Lonchura striata: one gene and its partner. The protein of the gene in region 2 purifies or fractionates together with the protein of the main gene of each other region. This does not show direct contact. Links are inferred from orthologs where the notes say so. Each region holds a gene or a part of one and is shown on either strand. Other genes may lie near its edges.

Region 1 (7,500 bases), on a different chromosome or scaffold from region 2:
AAGCAGAAATGTTTGCTCGAACATCCCATTATATTACAGCCTTCACTGCCAACTTTGAGCATAAAAATACTGCAGCAGGTAGGCATGGCACAAACTTCTAAAGGTAAATCCTAATCCATGAGAAAACGATCCTGTTCTTCAGTCCCTGTGTCAGGCCCCAAATGCACTCAACTAGCCCAGCAGTGGCGAGTCAAACAGTTCAAAACAAGCTGGTATTTCGACCACCTGGAGGTGGTGTTAAGCTCTTCCCTATCCATAGTCCAACATGGACAGCAGAAACCCACCAAGATCTTGCAGGCAGCTGTTTTCCCTGAGCTCAATGCTTTTATTTTTCAAGCACCAATGCCAACGCAGGCCATTGCAGAATGCAGGGACACCTAAGGAGAAGGTCTTGTCCATTAAATCTGCTCTGTGGGTCTATAATTAATATAATCATTATAAAAAAATTAGGGCTTTCAAAGCCTGTAAAACAAGTCACAGAAGGATCCCTTTATCTTTACAGGCCTGTCTTCACTACGCTCTCTGGTCTCCTCACTACCTCTGGTGGATCAGGGCTGCAAACATTTAGTATCTCCAGCACACAAGCATTGCACTGGGAACACTGCTGGATTATGAGCAAAGGCCTTGTTAAGCTCTGCTAAAAACCCAAAGACTTACAGTAGTGACTTTCCAGAGTTCAGAAGCTCTCAATTCACTTCAAGCATAGAAAAAGAGTGGCTTTCCTTGGGTCATCCTCCTGGAGGTCACTACAACATCACAACAGGGCAACTCACCTTACCAACCGATTCTTTCACACAAATTCACGCTCCAGATCTTTTTTGTCAAGTGTCTGCCAAAACAAATCCTCCACCCAATGGAATGAAGACACAGTATGAGCCTGCAAACTCTACAAGAAGGCACCTGGGTGCAGGGCTGCCAGGCAAGGTCAGCTGCCAGCCTGCCTCTCGTGGGAGCTCACCAGCAGTGTTTATTTTACACGTTTTCTCTTCTGCTAATGAACACGCAGCAAAAGAAACAATGGCCCAAGAGAGGAGAAGCAGGCAGCAGCACTGGGGGCACTGCTGGAACCAGTTGCTGCCACCAAGCGTCCCAGAACACACCACTAACAAATTCAATTTTTAAACACCTCTGGGAATACAGAGACAACTGTGCTGGGCCCAAGGACAATTTTGAGCGCTGCCGCATTACTCCCTTACCCTACAACTGCGTGGACACGCTAATGACACAGCCTCACTCTCTCCCTCAAATAATCATCCCAGGAGTTGCAAAGGCCCCCTGCTTGTGTTGGGCAGCTGCATCGTTGCTGCTGACTCTGACAAATCACACACGTTTGCAACGGATGAGGCTGGTAATGAATCTGGGCACTCTTTACACAGGAGACTCAAACAGGAACACTCAACCTTGCAGTTTTGCGTTTTTTTGGTTTATTTCTCGGGATCGTTATCTCAGAAGTCATCACAATAGAGTGTAACCTTCACACAAAGGAGCGATGTGACCAGTTTTGTGTCATAACGCACGAGGTGAATGCAAACACCAACGCTACCCTGGATTTCCTTAAGCTTTGCTTATGTCCATGACTACAACGACAAACCAAACAATCCAAACACAGACTTCTACCTGGCACGATTAACTTGTCCTCTTAACTTCCAATTAAGATGACAGCTTTCCAGGTAGAAATTGCAGAGCTGTCCATCTCCCAAAGATCAATAACTCGGATGAATCACCATGCTAGGTAGTAACAGTTCTTACAAAACACTGGCATGTACAGTAATTGGGAATCTGACGGCACATATGGCAGCGTGATTTCAGAGCTAACAGAGACAGGTAGAAAAAGATTAAGTCTTTCCCAAACAAGACGCTTAGTGAAAACTTCTGCGGTTTTCCCCTACTCCCGATTCACTTGAAGCAGGTACGAGAGGAGCGCAACACCCATCCCGACAGGCGAGGAAATGGTGTTCTGCAGCTTCAGCCTTTGCTGACGACAGCAGCGGGTTCCAAGCGCGATTTGGACAGCGCAGCCCCTCCGCTTCCCTTTTCGGGGACCCCCGTTCTGCGCCGCGCCCGCAGCCCGGGGCAGCGCCCGCGCCGGGCAGAGCGGCGCTCGCCGCGGCCCCGCCGCCATGAGTCGGCAGAGAAAGGCGGCGCGGCCTGCGCGGGGAGCCGCGGCCGCGCACACGTGGGCAGCGCAGGCCGCGGCCCGGGCCAGGCCCCCGCGGGGGCGGCGGGGCCGCGCTCCCGGGGGAGCCGCACGCCGGGAACCGACCACGTTGCCGGCGCTGCTGCGGCGGAATGCCGGGAGCGGGAGGGGAGGGGGGGCCGCGTGTCCGCCGCCGGGCCCGCCCGCCACCACCACCGCCGCCGCCGGGCCGCCGGCCCCTCCGCCCGCCGCCGCATGGCCGGGCCGCGCTGCTCCCCCCGCCTCGTGGCCGCGGCCGCGCCGCCGCCCCCCCGCCCCGCCGGGCCCCGCAGGCCGCGGGCGCGGCCCCACGCCGCGTGTGCCGCATGGCGCGGCCGCCCGGGGCGCGGTCGGCGGCGCGGCCGGGCCCCCCCGCCCCGCTCCCGGCGACCCCCGAGCACCCACCGGGAGGCGACTGCCCGTTCACGGCCGGCGCGTTCTTCGTCCAGGGGTTCACCTTGGGCGGCGGGGCCTCGATGAACTCCCGGCGCCCCGCGCCGCCCGCCTCGCCGCCGTCCTCCGCCTCGCCGCCGGCCCTCAGCAGGCTCTCCTTCTCCTGGTTGTTGCTCTCCTCCTTCTGCTGCTTGGCGCTGGGCGGCCTCGGCGCCGCCGGCCCGCCGTCGGGGCCCATGGGCGGCTCGCCCTTCTCCCGGCCGCCGTCCTGCGGCGGCTTCAGCACCAGGGCGCGCTCCTCGGCGGGCAGCAGCGGGGCCGTGCCGGGCAGCAGCGCCTCCACCTGCGTCGCCATCTGCGCGCCCCCGAGCCCCGCCGGGAACCCCCCGACCCCGGTGCCGCCGCAATATGGAGCCGCGCGGGGACCACGCGACTGCCGCGGGGGCGCGCACCGCCCGCCCGTGCGCGCCGCCGGCGAGGGGAGGGGCGGCGCGGGGCGCGCCCCCGCGGGGCGGCCGGCGGCGCGCACGGGCCTGATGCAACGCCCGGCTGGGCCGGGCTTGAGGGAGGGAACCGGGGGGTTTAAAGCGCTCCGGCCCCTTCCCGACAGCCCGGACCCGCCGCCCGGCTCGGAGAGGCCGCGTTGGGGCCGGGGGAACCGCTGCCGGCTCGGGGAGTACGGGAACGGACGCGCCGGTGGAGCCCCCGAGCCCCGGCCGGCATCAGCCCGGAGCCGAGGGGTAGGGATGCTCTCGGTCACCCACGCCTGGGGATAACGTGGTTGGAAAGTGCAGCAAGGGACTCGGTGCGTGTCCTGGGGAATCACGGAACCACAGAAACGGCCGGGTTGGGCCGGCTGGTCCCACCTCTCTGTAAAAACAGGGGTTGTCCCAGAGCACATGGCACAGGATTGGCATCCGGACGGTTCTTGATCATCACCAGTGAGGGAGACCCCGCAGCCTCTCTACTCTCTGTTCCAGTGCGGGTCACTGCACAGTAAATAAGTTCTTCTTTATATCCAGGTGGAATTTCCTGTGCATCAATTTTTGCCTATTGCATGTGTCCTATTGCTCAGTACCACCGAAAAGAGCCCTGCTCCATGTGCTTGGCTCCTCCCTTTAGATATTTATGCACATTGATGAGCGAGAGACCACTTCTCATCTCCTGTGCCCAGCAAAACCTTTGTTTGAATAGGCTAAAATATTTAATTGCTCTCTAGCTGATAGAATGTCACTTGCTCATCACCATCATTTAATATTCCTGGTATTTGTCCTCAATTCTTGCAGGCAGCAAGACAGCGACTGCAGACCGTGTGTGTTTGCGCACATGAATTATACACATTTAAAAGGCAGCTTGCACTGCCAATACCATTTAGCACAACCTGCCTAGTTCACAGCAGCCCTTACTTGATGCCTTTTTTATTAAATGCAAGCTTCTCCCAGCCTCTTTCCTCATCACAGCGAGCACACCACTCTGCTTCTGCCTGGAAAGGTTCATCTGGAAGTCCCAGCATGTCCTGCAGCCCCAGGGACACATCTATGCAATCCCTGCAGGAGACCCGTCAGCATGACAAGGCACTGAAGATGTAGCTGCCAGCTGCTGATGCGTGGAGAAGGATGAAAAGCTGATTTCACTGTTGGAAGGAAAGAAGAAAGTGAGAAACAAACATGAGCTCAGCACAACATTTGGAAGGGCAGCAGCATCATGGTGGATCCATAGAGGGAGTCCCAGGCTGTCAGGGATGCTCCACTGAGACCATCTCTGCTCTCTATGTGCCCTGGTACCCAAGCTCTTGGCTCAAAAAATACCCTCCTGTGCCACAGCCTTAGGGATCACCAGCAGTTATCCCAAATCATTCAATAATTTGGCCACTAAAATTCCAAAAGGAACTTTAAATATAACTTCAGAAGAGAGGCTTGCTGGCCTGGCTGGCTGAATACCTGAGCTGCAGTAACCCAAGCCACATCCTGTGCTCCTGTGCCCGGTCCCTGACATGCTGGGGGCTCCTCATGAGTGTGACTTGGAGCTGCACAGCTTCCAGCCATTCTCCCACCTACACCCTCTCTAGGAGCAGGTCCTGGCATGGGGAGCACAGCTGGGTGAGGAAGGTGGCTGCAGCCAGGGGACCTGCAGGCCGTTGGTGTCCCTCACCTGTCCCCCAGCCAGGGTGCAGAGTTCCAGCTCGCTCCCTGTGGGACGCTGCTCTGCTGCCACGTGAGCAGGAACGAGCCCGCGGTGGCCAAGAGCCAAACTGGCTCCAGAGCTGCCAGGCAGGAGGGAGCTGGATGAGTCTCACCCTCATGCAGTGCCCAGCCAGCCCAAACCCAGGCAGGTTTTCGGAGTTAGAAAATAAATGCATGAGCAAGGGTGAGGGGGGAAGAGAGGTGTCCGTACAAGTTTCTTGAATCAGCTATAGGGAGCATCACCTTGGCAGGTCAGCTCTCAAACACCCATCCATGGCCAGGGAAGCTGGGTGTGCACCACCTCCAGCTGCTGTAAACACGCTGGCCATGCCCAGCAAGCTCCGTGTGCTCCACTCCTCCCTTGGTGTCCTCACCTCTGCTGGACCCACCTTCCCCTGCTCTGCCCAGCGTCCACTTGGATATTCTGCTCCTCCCTCCAGGGGCTTGCTGAGAGGCAGCCAAGGAGTCTCCACATTTCTGCAGCACAATTCACTGGGAAGTAATCCATCTCTGCTTTCCCCAAATGCAACAAAAGCACCTGATTGGCATCCCCAGTCCTGCTTCTCTGCCTCATCCTTCACCCCAGATGTGTCCCTGTGCCTGCCCAGACCACATCAAGCAGCTCTGGGTGCTGCCTCCCGGCCCTGTGCTGGCCCTGCGCAGGCTCTGAGGAAGCAGTCTCCAGGGAAACTCCTCTGCTGAGCAGTGATTTGGGCAGGAGCTCCCCACCTCCCTTGCTCCCTGTACAACAGCTTATTTATTTCTCCCCGACTGAAGCGTGGCTTGCATATTTATCACAGACAGCCGGCTGCTTTGGTGCTGGCCTGGAGGTTTAAAGATGCTTTGACGGTGGCCATTAATGCCTCTGAGCATCTCTGGGTCTTGCTTGGCTGGAAAATCCCCAGCTTCATTTCTGCTGGTCTGGCAAGCTCACCTAGAGGCCCAACCTTCCCTTTGGGAACAGCTTTAGTTCAGTGGCCTGGAGCAAGGCCTGTGCATGGCGGAGCACAAAGCAGCCGATGTGACTGATATGCTCCTTAACTTCACTATCCTGTTTGGCTGGTAGCTCAGCCCCTTTCTCAGGTTCCACTTGCCTAATTTTGTCCAGCACTGTGGCCACGAGGTCACCGTTAAAAGAGTTTCTTTCCTACAGTTTCACCTTTGCTCTAGTCAGGTCCTGAGTGCTGCTCAGCATCTGCAGCACACTCCTGATCACACCTCCTTTCCCTGCATCCAGGGCTGTGCAGACCTCGCAGTCAGCTCAGATGTGATGTGTGCTTCCCAAGGGAATTTTCTTTTCCCAGCACCTCCAGACCAGTTTGCCTGCTGCCAGTGCTGGTCACGCTGTTCCCTGGTGAGATGCCCAAGCTTTACACGTGGATGGCAGAATATTAAGGCTCAGGCATCTTTAACGCTGTGCAAAAGAGGATTGTTCCAGGAAAGTCCAAGCTTCCTATCCTGAGTCATATGCTTTGACTTATTTATGTGGTTGTTATTGCTCCATGAACCCTGCCAGGCAGAAACATTGTCAGGGACAATGCACACAAGGTTGGGCTGACTTTCCTGCAGCAGCCCTGCAATGCTGCCCTCCAGCAAACCCAACTGCCCCTGAGGGATGTCAAAGTCCTGCTTCCAATGGACTTGCAAAAGCAGTCTGACCATCCAACTGCTGGTGCCCACAGGGAAAAGCTTTTCAAAGGACACCCACAGCTCATTCCTAGAAGAGAAGCGTCTTCGCTCTGAGAAGAGGATGGTATGTTGGTGCAGAACCATTCTCAGGACTCTGGGCCAACAGTTACAACCCTCACATTGAAATGGGAATTTTTAATTTCAGAAAACCTGACAGTTTCCCACTGAAAAATACTCAGCTTGCCCTGAAATTCTTCACCAGGGTAATCTGACCCCACCTTTTAAGTCTGGGTGATATTCTTTCCCACAAAACAGTGGAAGCCCAAATTCCCGTCCCAATTTGCTGTGCCATTGGTGAGTGGGGCTGAGGGCAGGCTGCCAGCAAATCCTTGTGACTCTGCCATGGCAAGTGCCTCCAACCAGCAGACACCTATTAGTGGCACATAGTGGCCATCACAAAGCACTTGAGTACTTTTAAAATTAAACACCCAAACCTTTTTTTCTACTACTCAAAATATCCACATTTCAACCTGCTTTAGCTCACAACCAGAAGAAAGTGCCCATTCCTGCAGGTTTCTGCCAAAGTGAGTGCCAACATCCCCCAGTTTAACCATATTTTAGCCTCTCCTTGCCCCATGTTTTTAACCCCAGAGCTTCCAACCCTGCTGTGGAGTGAGGGACCATGCACTAAAGCACAAAGCACAGCCAGAGCAGATATCTCAGCTCCTGCACTTCTGCTGCCAGGGCACAGGGGTGAGAACACACTGAGTGCTCCAGACAGCCCCATATCTATCTGCAGCCATGTGATCCAGAGAGATGGAAGACACTCCCTGGCTCTGAGATTAATTCACTTGGACCCTTCCAGCAAAGCATATGAAGGATCAGCGTGAAGAGTGAGCGCATTCCCACCAATAAGTAATTTTCAACCTGTGTAATAAAACAGCAGACACTAACGAGTTCCATTCCATCCCCATCAAAAAGTGCTTTCACTTAGCAGGGCTCCACAGCCCAGGGGCTTGGTGGGTTGGTGCTGCAGCCCAGCCAAAGGCACTGTGCTCTCAGGGCACTCTGCCACGCCTGGGGTAGGAACCAGCTCCCAAAGCTGCTGGCCCCTCGCTG
Region 2 (7,764 bases):
TGTTGGGCGGTGTCGGTGCGTGTGTTCGGTGTGTTCGGTGTGTGCCAGCGTGTGCCAGGCTGTGCCAGGGTGGGTGTCCGCGCCGAGCCGGCGGGAGCTCTCTTCCATCCCCGCGCCGGCCGGGCAGCGCTCCATCAGCGCTGGGGAGGGTCCCCCGCAGCAAACCAGTTCCCCAGGCACCGGAGAAACTGGAGGGACACCGGGGCGAGCCTGGGCTTTGAGTCACTGTGTGCGAAGGGAGGGACGCGGCACGCTGGGGCCGGGCGGGGTCGGGCTCAGCCGCAGCTCCCGGGAGGGAGACGGGGCCGGGGGCAGCCCCGCAGCCCCGAGCCCTCCCCGGGCTGCAGGGGGGTCAGAAAGGACCCCCCATGAGCCGTGTCCCTCCCCCGGGTGACACCGGCCGTCCCTGGGGGGACCGGGGGGCTCCGCTCTGCCCGCAGCTGCAATGCGTTCCCAGCTCCGCGCTGGGGCGGGGCGGCCCCGCTGCAGTTTGGAGGCAATGAGGGCTCGGGGCTCGGGAGGGATCAGCCAGCTCAGCTCCCTTGGGATCACCCTGAGCAGGACTTGGAAGGAGGTTCTCCAGCAGCCCAGGAAAGATGGAACCCCTGTTTGCCGGGCCACCAGTGATAGGAGGAAGATGCAGGAGAGGCGATGCTTTGGGAGGTGAGATTCAGCTGCCTTTCCTCAATATCCTGCTGTGCCCTCCTGGCTCCCCCAAACCACGTTTCTCCCCCACTGCCTGGATTTCCTCTTGGGGGAGTGAGGTTTGAACGGGGCTGGGGGGATTTAAGGGGCAAGGGCAGACTTGTGAGCTCTGGTCTGGGGGGATCTGCAGCCTCTGAGGAATATCCTTCAGCTATCGATCCCCCTTTATCAGGCAGCAGGAATATGCATGGGCTGAAATCCTGATCAATCCCCGCTCTGCAGCCGATCAATCAGCTGCTGCCCCAGGGCTTTTATCGAAGGGAGCTGCCGAATTTGGGCACAATCCACCGCTCCAGGCCAGGGGCAGGACCGTCTCTATCCTCCTGTGCCCCGTGCCCTGCGGGGGAAGCCTGGCCGCAGGCAGCGCCCTGCAGGGCACCCTCGGGAGCTCTCCTCACCCTCCCTGCCAGGTGCCAGTGCCCCGGGCAGCCGCATCTGGGACGGAGCGGGATGGCCCCAGAGCTGTGGGACACCCAGGGCCGGAGAGAAGCCCCAGGGGAGCATTTTTGGAGGGCTGGGAAGGCGCTGCCTGGTGAGGACACCCTCGGGGAGCACGCCTGTGCCAGTGTCCCCCCGGCCCGGGTTCCCAGCGCTGGGAGCATCCCGCGGGGCGAGCAGGGGGTGCGGGGGGGAGGAGCAGCTCCGTGGCCTCCTTTATTGATTGCCTGGCAGCCAAAGGTCAGCAGCGAGCGTGGCAGGGTGGGAGGAGGGCGCTGGGGTGTGAGGGGCTCGCTGCCAGCCCCGGGGCGAGTGCCAGCCTTGGGCAGGGCGCGGTGGAGCGCTCAGCATGGGCACCCACCGCGCCCCCTCGTGCCTCAGTTTCCCCGCCAGCAGATGGGCTGGCAGGACTGGAGGGTGGCCACCAGGCTCCTGGGCTGGCTGGGTGGGGAAGGAGGTGGAGGGGGCTGGAGGGAAGGGTCTGTGCCCACAGGAGGGGGTGGAGGTGGGCCCGGCCGGCGTTGGAGGAGGTTTGTGCAGCCAGGAGGGCTGTGCCTGCGGGGCGGGCAGGCAGACGGAACATTTTCCTTCCTCAGGAGCTCGGAGGCTGCTCTTGGGCTGGCCAGCGATGGCAGCGACAGCGCTGCGAGATGGCGCTGGAGCCTCAGCCCAGATAAGATCATTTTCCACGGCACTTCAGGACCCCGCAGGGACTTGCAGCACCCTGGGGACACCGGTCCCGATTTCTGCCAGCGCTGTGACCCACGTGCCCGGGTGCTGCCCAGCCCCAGGGCTCCTCCTGCCGGGTCAGGGCTCCGGTGGAGCCCCGGGGCAGCTCCGTGGCTCCGGCCCAGGGACAGCAGCGCCGGCACTGGGCTCACAGAGCTGCTGCCCTCGCCCCGGCCGTGCCGAGGGGGAAGATTTACAGGCTGTCAGAGCCGGGGCCAGAGGTCAGCAGGGGTCAGAAAGTCCATTTCAGTGAGGTCACTGTCCACTTCTTTCAATCTAATGAAGCCATTATTTGTGAAAGCGGCCGCTTTGCCGGCTATTCCCTTGAAGCCGAGCAGGGCACAGCGACCGGCTCTGAAAGAACAGGAAGGAGTCCCCTTCCCTTCCCTTCCGCGTTTGCCATTCAACAGGCCCCGAAAACAAATACACCACACACAGAAATACGACACGGGGCCGGCGCTGCCGGGCCGGGCCGGCGGCGGGGAAGGGTGGGATGGAAAGGGATGGAAGCGCCCTGATCGGGGACGTGGCTGCATCGCGGGGCTGCAAAGCCACTGAGGACGGGCAGAAATCGGGGCGCGCTGAGGAAGTCGCTGCTGCCAGCAAAAAGTTACAGGGAAATGCCTCCGGGGCTGCTGGTCGCTCCTGTCCGTCAGGAAGGGCTGCAGGGGGAGGCTGGTGCAGGGTGTGGATGATTTTCTGAAGGATTCCTTGTGGAGAAAGCGAGAAAGGGCTCATTCCTCACCACATCCTTCCCCCGTGCCCTCCCCAAATCCCGAGTGAAACGGGGAAAACTGGGCAGGAGACGGGATGGAAGCAGGGGTAAGAGGAAGGGGCTGGAGCCTTTTGGGGGGGGTGGGTTATTTTCTCCCCTCCTGCCCCAGTTATCGCCCAGCCGAGAGGAAAACGGGGATGGATGCGCAAGCCCTGCAGCCAGGAGAGGGGGCCAGACGCGCTCCTGCTCCCGGGATGTCCCGGGATGGTCCCGGGATGTCCCGGAGCACCACCCGAGCTGGCGCGGGGTGCCAGCAGAGAGGGGGAGCAGGGACAGGGACAGGCACCGCGGTTTCCTTCTTGCCAGGACTGCCACCAGCCCCGTCCCGGAGCGGGAGTTCTGCGGCGGCCAGAGCCCGGTCAGGGACGGGAGAGGGGATCCCATAGGAAACCCTGGCCGGACCCGTCCCTCCTTCTGCTGCAGGTGAGGTGCTGCTCCTCGGCTTTGGGGAATCGGCTCAGGACCGACCATGAGAGACCAGCGGAGACTCCTGGCAGCCCGTTAAGGGCGGTGTGAAGGTGAGGGACACGCTGTGCCAGCGGCTGGGGGTGAGAGGTGACACCTCCCGCTCTGCCTGTGCCCGTGGGACACGGACCCACCGGCACCGCGAGTCCTGGCGGGCTGGGGCGCTCCCAGCAGCTCACTTGGGTGCCTCCACCGAGAAAAACCATCCTCTTCCTCCTCTTCCTCCTCTTCCTCCTCTTCCTCCTCTTCCTCCTCTTCCTCCTCTTCCTCCTCTTCCTCCTCTTCCTCCTGCTTTGCCGTCCGCCAGTGGGGTCCAGCGGGGCTGCTCGGCTCTGTGGGGAAGGGGCAACGAGGAGGCCGCGGTGTGCGGGGCAGGAGCAGGAGGAGGGAGAGGAAGAGCAGGAGGAGGGAGAGGAAGAGCAGGAGGAGGGAGAGGAAGAGCAGGAGGAGGAAGGGCAGCGCCAGGACCCTGGACAGGGCCGCCGCTTCAGCACCACGGCCAGCGGCAGCGGCGCCGCGGGCGGCGGGGGCTTCGCGCGGGGATTCCCCACGCGGGGATTCCCCACGCGGGATTCCCCACGCGGGATTCCACCGGCAGCACCGGCCCGGCCCCGGGCCGCCCCGCGGGTGACACCGCGGTCCCCGTGGCCGCGCCCCGCCAAACCGCGCGCTGCTCGGTGACACCACGCGGGACCGGCCGCGCGTGGGGCGGCCGCGGTGGGCGCAGACGCCGCCCCCGGCCCCCGCTGCCCCCGCCGGGCCGGTCTGGGGGCACAGCCCGGGCGGGGCGGCGGGCGGCGCTGTGCCCCCGCGGCCGGGGCATTGTCCGCCGCCGGAAATGGAGCCGCTGGTCACTCGCCCTTTGTCCCCGCCCGGCCCGGGGGGCGCCGGGCCCCGGCCCCGCCCCGGCCCCGCTCCCCGCGCCGGGGCCGCCGGGCCGGGGGAAGCGCGGCGCATCCCGGGGGGCGCACGGTGCCGGGACGCGGGATGGGGCTGGGGGCGCAGGAAGAGCCCGGGGTCCCGGGAAGCCGCCCCCTCCCCCGTGCCGTTCCCCGTCCCAGCGGGTCGCGGCTCGCAGGTGGCTCCGCTCGTGGGGAGGGGGCGCGGACTAACGACGTGGCAGCTCCCGCCGGTGTCCGGGGGTCCCACCTCCAGCCCCCCTCCCCGGGTGTCACCTCCTGCCTTGACAGGTGGCCTCGCCCCCAAGTGCCCTAAGTGTGGGGGGGTCAGCCCACACAGCCCCCCCCGCTGCAAATCCCTCCCGGAATGTGTCGCTATTAGCGGGGGGGTTAATTAGGATCACGTGGGGACGGGATGGCGGAGCAGGGCCCGGCGCCCCCCGGCCCCGCGGGTGGGTCCTGGGGGGGGGCGGGGGCTGCTATTGTCTGCGAGAATTTGGGAGCCTTTGAAAAAACCCTCCCGCTCCCTCCCACCCCTATTGTTGGAGTGAAGATGGAGTCAAACCTCTCCCGGCTCCCTCCCGGCGGGGTCTAAGCTGGGGTTTTTTGTTGGTTTTTTTTTCCTCCTTTTTTTTTTTTTTCTTTTTTTTTTTTTTTTTTTTTGGCTGGCCTGATACCCTCAAAGCTGGCCGAGGAGGAGGAGGGAGGAGGCGGTAACAGCCACAACTCGGAATTTGCAAGCGAGTGTCGGGATGGGGTCTGTTTCCAACCAGCAGTTTGCAGGTTAAGTTATATTATTGTCGCAGCCCGCCTCGGCTCCGCGATTATTAATAACGAGGGCAGAGCCCGGCTGGGGGGCGCAGGGCCCCCCCGACCCCGGCCCACCCAGTCCCGCTGAGCCCCGGCAGCGCGGCCGGGCCCGCCGGGCCCCTCTGCCCCGCGCAGCGCTGGGGGTCGCAGGGGGGATTTATTGGGGTTTTTTATTCCCCCCTCCAGCCCCAGGATGACCCCAGAAGTTTGGGGCCGCTGGCGGCTGCTGGGGGTGTTTGGGAGCGGGGGTGGGACGGTGCAAGGGGGGGATGCTGACGGCGAGGGAGAGTTTCTCCAGCATGGCTTGCTGGGGGCAGCGGGGTTTCGGGTTGGGATTTTGGGGGAGTTTTTTGCCCTTTTTTAAAGTTCTGTTTTAATATTTTGATTTTTAGAAAAAAAAATATTTTGGCTATTTTTCCGTTGCTCGATTGGTCTTTTTGTGTGTGTCTGGGATTTTTAATTTTTTTTTTTTCGTTTTTAAGGTTTTTGAGGGAGAAACGGATTTAGAGCTCCCACTGCACGCACTGCCTGGGTCGTGCTGGCAGCAGCCGCCTTCGTTTCCTGGGGTGATCCCCGTGCACACGTGGAGGCAGAGCTCACCTCTCCGATGTTTTTTTTTTTTGGGGGGGGCGGTTGGGGATTTTTTTTTTGCGTTTTCCAGCCTGCACGGGGCACCCCGAGCAGGGTTGGGGGTTCCTGTGCCGGCCGGGTGCGGGGCGGCTGGGCCGGGGGCAGCCGCGGCTGCCGCAGCCCCGGCTCAGCGGCTCCGCGGGTCTCTCGCCAGGTGCGAAGCCGGGCGAGGAGCCGGCCGGAGACTCGCCCAAGGCGGAGAACGAGTCCCAGCCCCTGCACGGCTCCGGCATCTGTAAGTGGTTCAACGTCCGCATGGGCTTCGGCTTCCTCTCCATGACCGCCAAGGGCGGCGCGACCCTGGACTCGCCCGTCGATGTCTTCGTGCACCAGGTAGGGCCCGAGCCGCGGGCGCTGCGGAGGGCCGGGGTGCGCTCCGGGGCACGGAGGAGGGATGGGGTCCCCCCTGCCGCCGCAGCCGCGCTCCCCGGGCGGCGGGGCGGGCAGGCACGGCCGCGGCCGGGCTCCTCTCCGCGGACCGGCCCTGTGAGGCGATCCCGGGCGATCTCATTTTGCCGTCGTTGTTGGCTGAGGAGCCCCTCGGGGCCGGGGGCGCAGGTGACGCCGCTCAGCCCGCGGAGGGACCCGGGGAGCGGGCGGCGTGAGCCCGGGAGCCCCGGCCTGGCCGGGACGCGGCACCGGGAGCTCTCCCGCTGGAGCTCATCCCGGCACCGGGCATCCCTGCCCGCGCCCTTTGTCCCAGCCGCGGGTGGCACAAAGGCGTCGGGTTTGCGTCCCCGCGGATCTGTGACAGCGACAGTCCCGTGTCCGGATCTGACCTTGCCGAGCGGGGAAGCCCCACGCGTGTCGGGGGCCCCGCACCCTGGGAAGTCGTGGATTAGGGGCTGAAGTTCCTCGAACGCCCCGGATCTCGGGGGAGGATCCGCCGGGGCTGGGGGAAGGGGTTTGGACACGGTGCCCGAACCGGGGCCAGCGCCGGGAGGGGATGCGGGGCTCAGCGCCGGCTCGTGCGGACGGGGCTCTGTGTGCTGCCCCTCACCTCGGGACTGCCGTGGGGCTGGGGGGCAGAGCGAGCACGAACCAAGGGGGCACGGGTGTTTTTGGAGCAAACACGGGGGGTTGTACGCGTGATCGAGAGCAGCACCGTGGCGCTGGCTCCGGGGAGTCCCGGGACCAGCCGCCTGCAGTGGCCGCTGCTCTTCAGGGGCCCAAAGCCCCCCAAAATGGGTCCATCCCCTGGGCTGGGGGTGCAGGACCGAGCTCCTGGGCTGTGAGAGCTCCTGGAGCTCCCGGGGGTCGCTCACTCCCTGCCCTTGAGCGAGGCCTCCAGGCAGGACTGGAAGGAAATGATGGCCGGGGGAGATGCCAATCCCTTCTCCCTTGGCTGTGGCATGGGCAAAGCGCCTTGGTAGGAGCTGCTATCCCCCGGCACAGCTGGTTTTGGAGTCAAGGGCTCCAAATCAGCCAGGGGAAAACAGATCCTGGTGTTCTCCAGAGAGCAAATGGGCCTTTGCATCTCAATGCGGCACAGCGGGACCCAGCGCTCCCGGGGAGAGCCTCCCGCCCTGCTCCCGGGGCTTTATTGCCCCCAGACAGTCTGGTTTCCTGATTGCTCCCGCTCACATTCCTGCAGGGGAAGGGAATTAGCTGGGGTGTCTCTGTCGGGAGCATCCCACTGCCCTGCAGCCTCTCGGTGCCCCCCGGTTTCTAGGGTCGGGGGAGATCCCAGAGATTGCAGCGTTTGGGAGCTCTGGGGAAAAGCGGCTTTTTCTGGGGAGCAGAGGGGTGCGGGAGGCTCCCGGCGGCAGCAAAGGGCTTTGCCCCACCAGAAGCTTTGGGCTGCTGGAGAATTCTCCTGTGACTCGGGTTTCGCCCCCTGCTCCTCTCACTGGTGGCACAGAGTCTCTGCTCTCCTGCAGGAACAGCCGGAGCCGCTCCCGGCGTCTCTCCCTCCGCAGAGCATCTCCTTGCAGAGGGAGCAGCTCGTGCTCCCGCCGCGGCCTCGCTGCTTTTGGGTGGCTTGCGGGGAATCGGGTCCTTGTCCCGGTGCTGTCCCCACCCCGAGCACCAGGGCGCTTCTCCGGAGCCCGCTCCGCTCCCGGGGAGGGAGTCGGGGCTGCGAGGGCAAAAGCCACCAAAAGCCGGGGGGGACGAGGCTCAGGACTCCTGTGCCCTGCCCAGCACCCAGCGCCCCAAAGCAGCTTTGGGGCTTAACACTCCAGAGCCCCTCAAAACCCGCTCCTTCCCCTCTTCATTTACATATGTGAATGATGACCCACAGGAAGTAATTGTAGGAGAAAGAAGGGAATTGGCCTCTTTAGATCTATTAAATCACTTTATTACAGGAACCAG

Evidence for each region. The genes of interacting proteins can lie anywhere in the genome.
Region 1: the proteins of LIN28A (region 2) and LARP1 purify together in Homo sapiens (affinity purification with mass spectrometry; 5 studies listed by BioGRID and IntAct, with this or other methods). This does not show direct contact. The link is inferred for Lonchura striata from reciprocal best matches to the Homo sapiens genes LIN28A and LARP1.

What each region holds. Positions count from the first base shown.
Region 1 is NC_134617.1:5,182,508-5,190,007, forward strand, and holds the start of LARP1 (la-related protein 1), read right to left. Parts: upstream 3,004-7,500; 5' UTR 2,925-3,003; coding exon 2,582-2,924; intron 1-2,581. UniProt on the Homo sapiens protein: RNA-binding protein that regulates the translation of specific target mRNA species downstream of the mTORC1 complex, in function of growth signals and nutrient availability.
Region 2 is NC_134628.1:323,275-331,038, reverse strand, and holds the start of LIN28A (protein lin-28 homolog A), read left to right. Parts: upstream 1-4,763; coding exon 4,764-4,794; intron 4,795-5,605; coding exon 5,606-5,784; intron 5,785-7,764. UniProt on the Homo sapiens protein: RNA-binding protein that inhibits processing of pre-let-7 miRNAs and regulates translation of mRNAs that control developmental timing, pluripotency and metabolism.